2 linked regions of the Schizosaccharomyces pombe genome follow. The protein of the gene in region 2 interacts with the protein of the main gene of each other region in a biochemical or structural test. Each region holds a gene or a part of one and is shown on either strand. Other genes may lie near its edges.

Region 1 (6,708 bases), on a different chromosome or scaffold from region 2:
CGAAAAACCGTTTCGTTGAGATTTTTTTCTTGTCGATGATTTTACACGCGTATTGTCCCCCAGTGTTATTATCCATTGCCATGTAAATGCGCGAGAAGCCACCAATTCCCAATAGTCTTTGAGTGATGTTAAATCTCTCACCCGCATACTCGTGATGAAAATCATTATCAGTAGTGTATTTCTGCTGGAAAAGAAAGGAAGCGCAGTGCCGAACATCGAGTATATCTCCATCCGATAAAAGGACGCTATTGCCTTTACCAATTAAACGATGATTTAAGAATGTTCCATTAGAGCTCTGATCTTCACAATAAACAAGGGGATCCATATCATCATCGATTAGCACCGAATACACTCTAAAGTGCTTATAACTGGCAGTGAATTGCAGAAGCTGATAATTGCATGTATTACTCCTTCCAACAGAAACGTCTTCATATTTCTTAACATTCAGTACTAATATATGTCAAAAATCAATTGAAACAAGAGAACACACCTGTTTGTGGAGAAGATGATGAAAAAACAAACAATCGAGCGAGAACATCATCTTCAGTATATTGAGGATCCATAGTACTTTCGTCTATTTGACTCAATTCACAAAGAATTTGCGTTGATTCAGATCGACTAAGCATGGCATGTGATAAAAAGTCCATAGTTCTTGCTTTTTTTTATATACACTTTGCAAAACGGTGATGCGCGTAAGCAATAAATATATATATACTTTGTAAGACGCGCCTATCAAAACGTAAAAGCAGTGTCTATAACGGTATAAAGACAATACCCATTATTATTACGTTATACCACTATAAACCAAAGTCATTTGGTAATGCCAAAACATACACTTGCCAATATTTTGAAGGATTGGGCTTGACACTATTAAGTATATTAATAAAATATGAACCTCATTGCTTATCAAATATAGTAAATTATGAGAATCCATATTAGTACAAACAGAAGAAACTTTGGATTTCAATCTCGAAGAGAGTTGCTGGCATTTAAATGATTTTTAGTCAAATGCAAGCAGAAGAAAATTTCTCGCTGTATTCACTTTAATGATCCGAGGACAAAAACGAGTCCCAATTGTAAGTTGCTCTTCATAACGAAGAAATTTGAGTATGAATAACCATTACGGTTAGAAAAAAACAAGGAAGGAAACTTATTATTTGATTAAGAAATCAACAGCTTACAACATTGCAGATTCTCATGCAACCCCATTTTCATAACGCTTTTAGGAAAGCTTGAAAACACTTTCGAATCCAGCATGATCTAATAAAATGTTAACAGGCAATTAATCGGAAGATTCATTAGGTCAGTGTTTCCGGGGTAATAGTTTAGAAATATTTAAGGCCGGACTACTTCCAAAGGGTTGTTTTGGATAATTGATTAAAAGTGATCTAACCAACTTTTTAAAAACAATACCCATATTCGTTTCTTGGACATTTTAGCCGAAAAGTGCTTTTTAAAAACCTTCATAAGCTTATATCTTGTGCCTGTTTTTACTCTTCCAAGTAGGATGTATTTTTTTCTCTGTAAAAGTGATTGAAAAATTATCCGGTAAATATTCAGTTCCAAATATTCATAGTAAACCACACGAAAAGCACCAACAGTAGAGTTAAAGCTTAATTTATAGTTCGGTTTGACGTATTTTCAATTTCAAACAAGCACGTTATCAACTTTCATCTTGAAACATGCCGCTTTTACCTTCTTGGTTATTTTCTAGGTCTGCCAAAATCGCCCAAACACTAGCTTTGTAAAGAGTATATACAAGTCCAACCTCCTTTTCTAAATCCCTTAGCGAGTCCAGAATATTGTTGCTGGGATTATAAACCATGTCCTGTAACACCTTAACAAGCTAAATATTAACCAACTGCTGAATAAAAAAGACTTACTGTTTCTAAATTTGATGCAAGATTAGCATATTCAGCTAAAATTTGATTCTGGAGAGCTCTTTTTTCCTCTAAACTCATTGTACCTTGCCTTGCATAAGCACTTTGCTCTCAGCAAACTCCTAGTTGACTGAAATCCTCCTTACTTCCACCATGGATGGCCTTAGGCCTTCGAAACGAAGAAAAAGTAATCCTTTGTATTCAGAGTAAGTTATAGCTTTTTTCTATTTAGTATTTCTGCTTTTTATACTTCGATGATCTTAACACGCGAGAGTTACGCGTTAGGAAGTATTGTACGAATTAAATTAGTGAACTTTGTTACATACGATTATTGTGAACTGTTCCCTGGTCCATATCTAAATTTGATTATCGGTCCAAATGGGACAGGTAAGAGCACAATTGTTTCAGCAATATGCATTGGGCTGGGATGGCCCCCAAAAGTAAGTCTTTCAATATTATAAAAAATAACTTAATTGATTAACGATTTAGCTACTTGGGAGAGCTAAAGAGGCCCGTGAATTTATAAAGTATGGCAAAAACACTGCAACCATAGAAATTGAAATGAAGTATCGTGACGATGAAACGGTTACTATCACGAGACAAATAAGCCAGGATAAGAGTAGTTCTTTCTCTATTAATAGGGAAGCATGTGCCACTTCTTCAATAACGTCTCTAATGGATACTTTCAATGTACAATTGAATAATCTTTGTCATTTTTTACCACAAGACCGTGTTGCAGAATTCGCTCAGCTTGATCCTTATTCTAGACTGATGGAAACTGAGCGTGCAATTGACCATGAAGGGTTACTTCCCGCACATGAGAAGCTTATTGATTTACGAAAACGAGAAAGGGAAATTTTACAAAATAAAAACCAAGGACAATCAACATTAAATTCATTAAAAGATAGACAACAGGCACTAGAGAAGGAAGTCAATATATTTAAAGAACGGGAAAAAATCAAATCATACATCGAAATGCTAGGGTTAGCTAAAATGTTAGTTATATACAGAGAGAAAACCAATGTCTTTAACCAACTTCGTGCAGACAAAAAAAAATTAAAAAAGGATTTGAAAGACCTAGTGGAAGAATTTCAACCTATTTTGGATAAAGGTGAAGAGCTGCGTTCGGATTTAAAACTAAAAGATGATACATTTAACGATTACTCCTCCGCTTCGATGGAACTTAATACCTCAAATTTAAGAGCCAGAGCTTCTTTTTCGAATTTCATGGAGAACGAGAAAAAGCTTTATGAGAAGGTTAATACCAATCGAACACTTTTACGGAATGCAAATCTTACATTAAATGAAGCACAACAATCGGTGAAGTCATTAACAGAAAGACAAGGCCCAAGACCTTCGGATAACGGTGTTCAAGATCTACAAGAAAAGATGCAAGAAGTTAATGCGGAAAAACTTCAACATGAAAACGAGAAACTTGAGAGCTCTCATGAACTAGGTAGTATCAGAACATTGAAAGCACAAAAGCTTATTGACCTTGATAACATTAAAAGAGAGTTGTCCTACTACAACGATGCTACGAAAAGGAAACTAGACTTTATGTCTTCTGCTCCAGGCTGGGAAGATGCTTATCAGACGTATCAGTTATTGAAGGAATACGAATCTGCGTTTGAAGCACCCGCATACGGCCCAATTTATATGAATTTGAAATGTAAGGAAAAAGGGTTTGCAGCTTTGATAGAAGGGTTTTTTCGCACGGATACGTTTCGAACATTTATAATGTCAAATTATAATGATTATCTAAAGTTAATGGATCTTATCACTTCAAAAACTAAGTACACTCCTACTATAAGAGAATTCTCCAGTGAACGAAAAAAGAAGATAGAAGATTTTGAACCTCCATGCTCTCGTGAGAAGCTTCAGTCTTTCGGGTTTGACGGATATGTGATCGATTTTTTAGAGGGGCCAGAAGTGGTTTTGGTTGCTTTGTGCCATATGTTAAAAATTCATCAAATTCCGATTGCAAAAAGGGAACTACCTCCCGCATCAGTGAATGCGTTAAACAATTTTCGTCTGGCTAACGGGGATCCAGTTCTTAAAACTTACTTGGCGGGCTCATCTATCCACTTGGTTTTTCGTTCAGCTTACGGTGATAGAGAAATTACTAGGCGAACAGACCCATTACCTTCTCGCAGTATATATTTTTCCGAGAACGTTGAGATGGATTTGGTAAAGCGAAAGGAGGAGCAACTAAATGCTCAACTCTCTCAATTGGAAAATTTACAGAATGAGGAAAGAAAGTTACAAGAAAAGGTAAATGAGCACGAATCGCTGCTTTCTCGTACAAACGATATATTATCTACTCTACGAAAAGAGCGTGACGAAAAATTAATTCCTATTCACGAATGGCAACAATTACAAGAAAGAATAGAACACCAAACTCTTCTACTAAGACAAAGAGAGAAAGTTCCTGAGCAATTTGCAGCTGAAATTGAAAAAAATGAAGATATCAGGAAAGAGAACTTCGAAGCTCTTATGAATTCGGTGTTAAAAGTTAAGGAGAATTCAATTAAAGCTACGAATAATTTCGAGAAGATGTTGGGAAGTAGACTTAATGTCATAGAAGCGAAATACAAACTTGAAAAACACGAGATGGATGCCAACCAAGTCAACGCTCGATTGACAGAAGTACAAGATCGTCTTAAAGATATTACCGATAAGTTAGCCTCAGCAAGGGAGGATGCTATGTCCTTGTACGGTTCAGTGGTTGATTCATTGCAGACACAATCATCTGACAGACAAACGGCAATAACTGAATTAAATGAAGAATTTGCTACTAGTTCGGAAGTGGATAACAAAATTAGCATCGAAGAAACGAAACTGAAGTTTATGAATGTTAATAGTTACGTTATGGAACAATATGATGCGCGTAAAAAAGAAATTGAGGAACTAGAATCGAAAATGTCAGACTTTGATCAATCCGTTGAAGAGCTCCAAGACGAGATGAACTCAATCAAAGAGGATTGGGTTAGTAAGTTAGAGGAGAATGTTCAATGTATTAGCGATAGATTTTCTAAAGGAATGAGTGGAATGGGATATGCTGGAGAAGTTCGACTAGGGAAATCCGACGATTATGATAAATGGTATATCGATATTTTAGTACAATTTCGAGAGGAAGAAGGACTTCAAAAACTTACGGGTCAACGACAATCTGGTGGAGAACGTTCTGTATCTACTATAATGTATTTATTATCTTTACAAGGTTTGGCAATTGCTCCGTTTCGAATAGTTGATGAAATAAATCAAGGAATGGATCCTCGAAATGAACGAGTTGTGCATAGGCATATCGTCAATTCAGTGTGTGACAACGCTGTTTCACAATACTTCTTAGTCACTCCAAAGTTATTACCAGATTTGACATACCATCGAAATTTGAAAGTGCTATGTATTTGTAATGGTGCTTGGTTACCAGCAACTTTTAGAACATCCCTTTCTACCTATTTTGAAAAGTTAAAGAAGTCCGCACTCATTTCTTCGTCATAAATGCTACATTACCATATTTGTCTTGTTGGCATACTTTTTCTTAATTTTTGATATTTGTTTTGTCCGATGGTGTTTTGTTTACTAAAGAATTTATTTTATGAGTTTTAAAATTTTGCATACGAAGTTACCCGTTAGTCATTTCGTTCCTTAGAGTCACCGAAAATTTGACCGTTAGATTTAATAAATTAATAATATCATTATCTTTAATTATTGCTTTCAGCATCCTGACATTTAAAATGTTATATCTTTATTGCTTAACTTATTCAAAAGATACATGTGCCCTTAACGTAGTTTTGTGTAATACAATTATCGCGCAACACCGTAGATGTGGCGCTATCGGGAATCCATATTAACGTAAACAACAAAGAATTGGGATCATTCTTGTGCTTACCCATTTCTGTTCATTAGACATTGATTTTAGAGAAGCTTTATTAATGTCTTCTGAAAGCAAAGGAATACCAATTCCCCGCTCTGATTCTAACAAAACCAGCGACGTTAGTTCGTGGGAAGAAGATTACGAATTGATCAGCTTAGGCTCCAGTCAAGACGCTTTGCAAAGATCAGGCATTCGAAGTGCTCATGGAGATTCAGGATACGCGTCTTCTCCACTGCGAATGGAACATTTGAGTTCATCCACTATAATTATCAATAATCAACTAAAGAAGATAGACGTGAACGAAAGTATTCCTGAGAACTCAACGTTGCATAACAAGTATGAACTTGGTGCTGTAGAGAGCTCAACAAGTTCTCTTAGTTTGCTCCAGAGTAAAGAAGAAGATGATAGCAGTAATTGGGAAACTGAGGATTCAGAATCTGCCGTCGAAGAGGCAGAGCTTCCCACTATATTCGAGGGAAAAACAGTGATATCTCCTAGTAGCTCTGGTACGGATCACAGTGAAGCTGTCGAATATACTGTTCCTACAGCTCCCCCAATACCGGACTTGCGATTCCAACAGTCATATCTCCAATCTATTCAGCGTGCAAATGGGTCTGCCTTTTTAGTTGCATTAATTACTCTTCGTGATCACGTTCTATATCCATTTTTAAGCGGAGGGATGTGGGTTTTTGTTCGCCATATTTTCCAATTCTTAAAGCTCCAAGAGAAAGGGTTTCACTTTGGCCAGTCGCTTCGCCGGAATCTGGGCTTGTTTTCTACCTTCAAGGATTAATCCACGTTAGATTAAGTGTTATAGAGCTATCCAATTGCTCTCATCAGTTTTTTAGTTTTCTTATTTCCTTTGTAATGGCCCTATTCTATTGATATGAATTTTATAAGTTTTTTTAACACCAGTCATTTCCCCCTTTTTGTCTAGCACACTTTCATGGC
Region 2 (4,260 bases):
AAATGTTGATATCAATGCCAAAATCCACAGTAGCAATAATATCATCAATTCCGTGAACAGCTTTTTCGTGAAGTTTGAAATCTTTGTCCTCCAACGTGTTCGGGGTTTGAGTCACTGCAATGCCTTCGTCAAAAATTTGGGATTCAGAAGGTAATAGCTTAGGACTCAGGTCAGGAGATGATGCCTTTTCAGAGGCAACGACGACTGATTCACTGGGGTTCAGCTTTGGGGTAGACATAATGGAGGTAGAAAGGGAAGGTGAAGGTTGAGGACTTGTTCCCGTCAGTACGGAAGTAGGTGCAGACATTGGTGTGGCAGTAGCCGCTGCTGAGAGGCGTCTTCGTTCTTCATTCATACGCTGCTCTGCCAGGCGAATTTCGGTATGGTTGCGGCGTCGATTACGTTCATTCACTTTGGCAAGTTGATCCATGGCAGAATTACTATTTTGGTTAGATCCCATGGAAAGTTCTTCCAAAGTGTTTAATTGATCGTCAATCTCCTTGACCAATTCTGCATTACCAGCAACATAAGCAGCTTGTCTCCTTTGACGAAGACGGGTCTTTTCAGCAGCGATGTTCGAAGGAACACGCGATAACTCTTTCTTCCTGTTAATAATATCAGAAACCTCCTTTTCGCTTAAAACGTATTTACTCATATCCCTGAGGTCATTCAGCTTTCGTTGTACAAAATTTTTAGAGGGCATGGAAAGCTTATCTTCCATCATTTGGTGATGCCATCGTTGGAAATCATGGTCGGAAAAAGGCTCATTTGATAAGACGTTGACATCGAACACTCTTTTCGAGCGACCATGAAAACATTCCAGTGAAACTTTAGTTAAAACACCATCAACACGATACGGCTTTCTGCTTTCTAAAATACCCTTGACTTGACATAAGCGATATACACCTTGTCCATCACGCTCACCAATTTTAACCCGAACAAAGCATCCAGTGACGGTGGACTCAAAGATAGGATGATACATGTACTCCGCGACATGTTTACGCCCAAGACGAATTGCATTTAAATCGTACAAATTGGCGGATGCATTATCTTTTGAAACTTGTTCAACTTTTTCCTCAGCATAGCTGGGAGAGTAACCTTCCTCTTCTTCGCTCTTCTCCGACTCATTCTGTTCTTCATAATCGGAAACAGGGCTCCTTTTTCTAGTTCTTTCAGAGACGCTTCTAGCTGAACGTTCCTGGCGGCGCTTTTTCAGCTCAGTAAGCTTATCACGTTTGCCAGCGGCTGCTGAAGTTAAAGGCTTGTCACGAGTAGACCTTCTAGTAGATTGCGCCATATACTGAGCATTTTGCTGATGGAGGCGAATTGCCAATTCACGCCTTTCCATCAACTTTGAAATTTCTTCTTCACGTTCGAAGAGAATACTCTCTCTCTCAATTTCCGTCATTGCCATTATCCTTTATTTGGTTAGACAACTTTATGAAAAATGTAAAAATCAACGTACTTTGCTCTGTCTGCTTCATCTTTAAACTTGCCCTCTAGACGATACGGGTTTTTGAATTTTTCTTCAAATTCGTCTTCCGACTTCTCATTTCCTTCTCCTCCAGACTCTTCCGCATAATCCTGTCCAACATTTTCATTATTGTCTTCGTCTGAACTGCTGCTCAACACATCATCTCTAAAATATGTTTTGTTAGCAAGGTCAATCCGATAAATTTGCTTTCTTACAAATCATCATGAGCCCTTTTACGGTTTGAAGCAACATCTGAGTCATCAATACCAGCTAATGCCAACAATTCATCCTGAAAGTCGGCCATCTTGGTGGAGGACAGGATCAGATTAGCTAGATACCTGACTAATAACGGTTCCAAGGACTCTCCACCAATTTCATAACAGCAGCGAAACTTTTATCTACTAGCTTTCAAAGGTACTATCTGCTAGTACATTAAAAGAATAATGTTTTTATAATTTGAAAAGTGATTTTTTTTTTAATTTTTTTTTTACGAAATAATTTTTGCAGATGTTGTCTTCCTTGGTTACAAACCTTATCGTTGAAAGCTTCCTTTTAAAATACTGCTCATTTGGGGTCCTCCTCTTTCCCTCTTTTTGAATATATTTCTTCTGTCGCGTAAAAACTTCAAACTGAGAATTCTGCATTTTGTTACAATATAAAATTCGTGAATCAAACCATTCAATAATAATCACAAGACTGTAAATAGGGCACATGTTAAATGCTCTTTTACAAAGAAAATCGTTTTAAGAAATAAGATATCTCTTCCATATCTGGCTTCTTTTACATATAAAGTAGCAAAGATTGCTTACGCCATTTCAAAATGAACTCGGCTCTAAAGGCAATAATAGAGCTTTGTATTGAAGAAGACTTGTTGCCAAAATCATTAGATGTTTTAGAATATCTTCTATCGACGACCTCTATACCAATTCCAGCTTGTTATATACGAATGTGCATAACTCTTCTAGTCCACCCAGAATATCCTACCTCTTCTAATATTCAAGAAAGCTGTAATTGGATATTACAGCAGGTGGTTGAGAACAGAAGCAAAATCAACTTTGACGCATGGTCATTTGAAAATGATCTATCGGACAACGATATGCCTAAAGAAAATTATCTGAAGATTTTCTCCAACCAATGCTTATTTACCCAAGATGTTGATTATTGGGATCTAATTGCATACATGTCTTCTCGTCCTCCTGACCTTGAACGTTGGATGTCCTTGATGGACATATGGTTAAGGATATTAGAGATCGATGCTGAGGAAAACGGATCTGCGTTGATGAAAAAATACATGGGAGAAGATTTGTGTGAACTTCAAGATGCCATCAGAATTTGCTTCTCCTGTTTCACTCTTCCCCAGCAAACAATGGAATCACCTTTTGCAACAAGTATGTCCAAAGCACCTGCTAAAACAGAAAGTCGAGGTTCAAATAGTTTTGAAGGAACATCAAGACTAGCAAACCTAGGTGCCAAACTCTTATGCCTTATATGGGCTATGCTTCCGAAGGGAAGATTTTTTGTTGTACATCTGACAGACGCTTTTCATTTTCTTAGCAAACTCGACGAACGTTTTTCAAAACTGAATGCGAAACAACAAGATCTTTTCTTTGGAAACTTAGGCGCCTCCAATCTCCGGTATTGCCTGAGCCAATATATACTTATGAAAGGAATAGGTATTGGAATTAACATACGCCATACACGTTGTGAGTTTACTAAACAGCTAACTCAACTTTTACCCACTTCCCTTCCGAAAAACAAAATCAGACAGAAGCTACATCTACGAGCATGGGTCTCATTTTTGGGTTCGGCCCTTCGTGAAAGTGATCGCAACTTTGATAAAGAGCTATTTTACACAACGTTGAAGCAGTTATACACAATGTATCAACAAACAGAATTAGTTGGTATTGATAGACCAATGGCAATACTCAAAGACATGCTTGTATTATTAGATATTTCAAAAAAATTGTCCTTGGATAAAATCGTTTAACTTAATAATTTAACTACAAATTAACAGAAGTCATTTGGCATTAATTGTGTATCCTAATATATATAGACTATATGTATCGTTTCAATGAATGAGGCTTTGTGTGGAAAATAATTATTATAATCATTAGTGATAACTAAGAAAATGAAATTTATATGAATAATATATAATAAACAAACGGGTAGATAGAAAGTAAATTAATTATTACCGAAAACGAAATGAAACATTTTGTGCAATAATTGTATGCTTGACCCCTTTATAAGATTTTTTATCTGGATGATTAAGCATCTTCAATGACTCTACTTTAAAATTATGAAGGGTTGATCCTTGAAGTTTATATTGTAAATCAAGGTGCTCAAGCTTAGAGTAGCTACTTGACTCTTCGGTTGAATTGGCATCTTTCTTTAAGGGGGCCAGGAATCCTGTCAACACTAAGGCCGGGGATGTCCAAGCTAATTTTTTTACCGACCACTCCAGAATACCTTCTTCCATATGAGTATACTTGGAAGCACGAAAAATATAATTTCCCTCGGTAACCGTAACGCTCTTTAGAGCTTGAGGAATAGTTATTAGGATTTTTAAATTTTCAACGGATTTTTTCCCGGTGTTTCGAATACGTACTTCGAACCTTCCATCCAACTTATTTTTTGCTTCAACAACAACAGGCAAAGATTTCTGGGTAGCAAAGTCTGTTTGAAAAGAAGCTAATGTAAATTTTCCGTCCGGTGGAATGAATTCAATCTGATCCGGATGTTGTTTCCATCTTTTTAAATTGACTGACTGGTGGAACCGAACATTCCCT

The links.
Region 1: the proteins of nse5 (region 2) and smc5 form a complex in vitro, tested with the Schizosaccharomyces pombe proteins (2 studies listed by BioGRID).

Annotation. Positions count from the first base shown.
Region 1 is NC_003424.3:5,225,079-5,231,786, reverse strand, and holds smc5 (Smc5-6 complex SMC P-loop ATPase subunit Smc5), read left to right. Parts: upstream 1-1,993; 5' UTR 1,994-2,033; coding exon 2,034-2,086; intron 2,087-2,154; coding exon 2,155-2,320; intron 2,321-2,369; coding exon 2,370-5,381; 3' UTR 5,382-5,608; downstream 5,609-6,708. Other genes in the region: mek1 (meiosis-specific serine/threonine protein kinase), read right to left, coding at 1-450, 491-647; DASH complex subunit Dad3, read right to left, coding at 1,664-1,846, 1,884-1,961; mitophagy receptor Atg43, read left to right, coding at 5,816-6,550. UniProt on the Schizosaccharomyces pombe protein: Acts in a DNA repair pathway for removal of UV-induced DNA damage that is distinct from classical nucleotide excision repair and in repair of ionizing radiation damage.
Region 2 is NC_003423.3:1,255,609-1,259,868, forward strand, and holds nse5 (Smc5-6 complex non-SMC subunit Nse5), read left to right. Parts: upstream 1-2,294; coding exon 2,295-3,461; 3' UTR 3,462-3,584; downstream 3,585-4,260. Other genes in the region: prf1 (RNA polymerase II-associated Paf1 complex protein), read right to left, coding at 1-1,418, 1,466-1,639, 1,690-1,778; AP-3 adaptor complex subunit Apm3, read right to left, coding at 3,663-4,260. UniProt on the Schizosaccharomyces pombe protein: Acts in a DNA repair pathway for removal of UV-induced DNA damage that is distinct from classical nucleotide excision repair and in repair of ionizing radiation damage.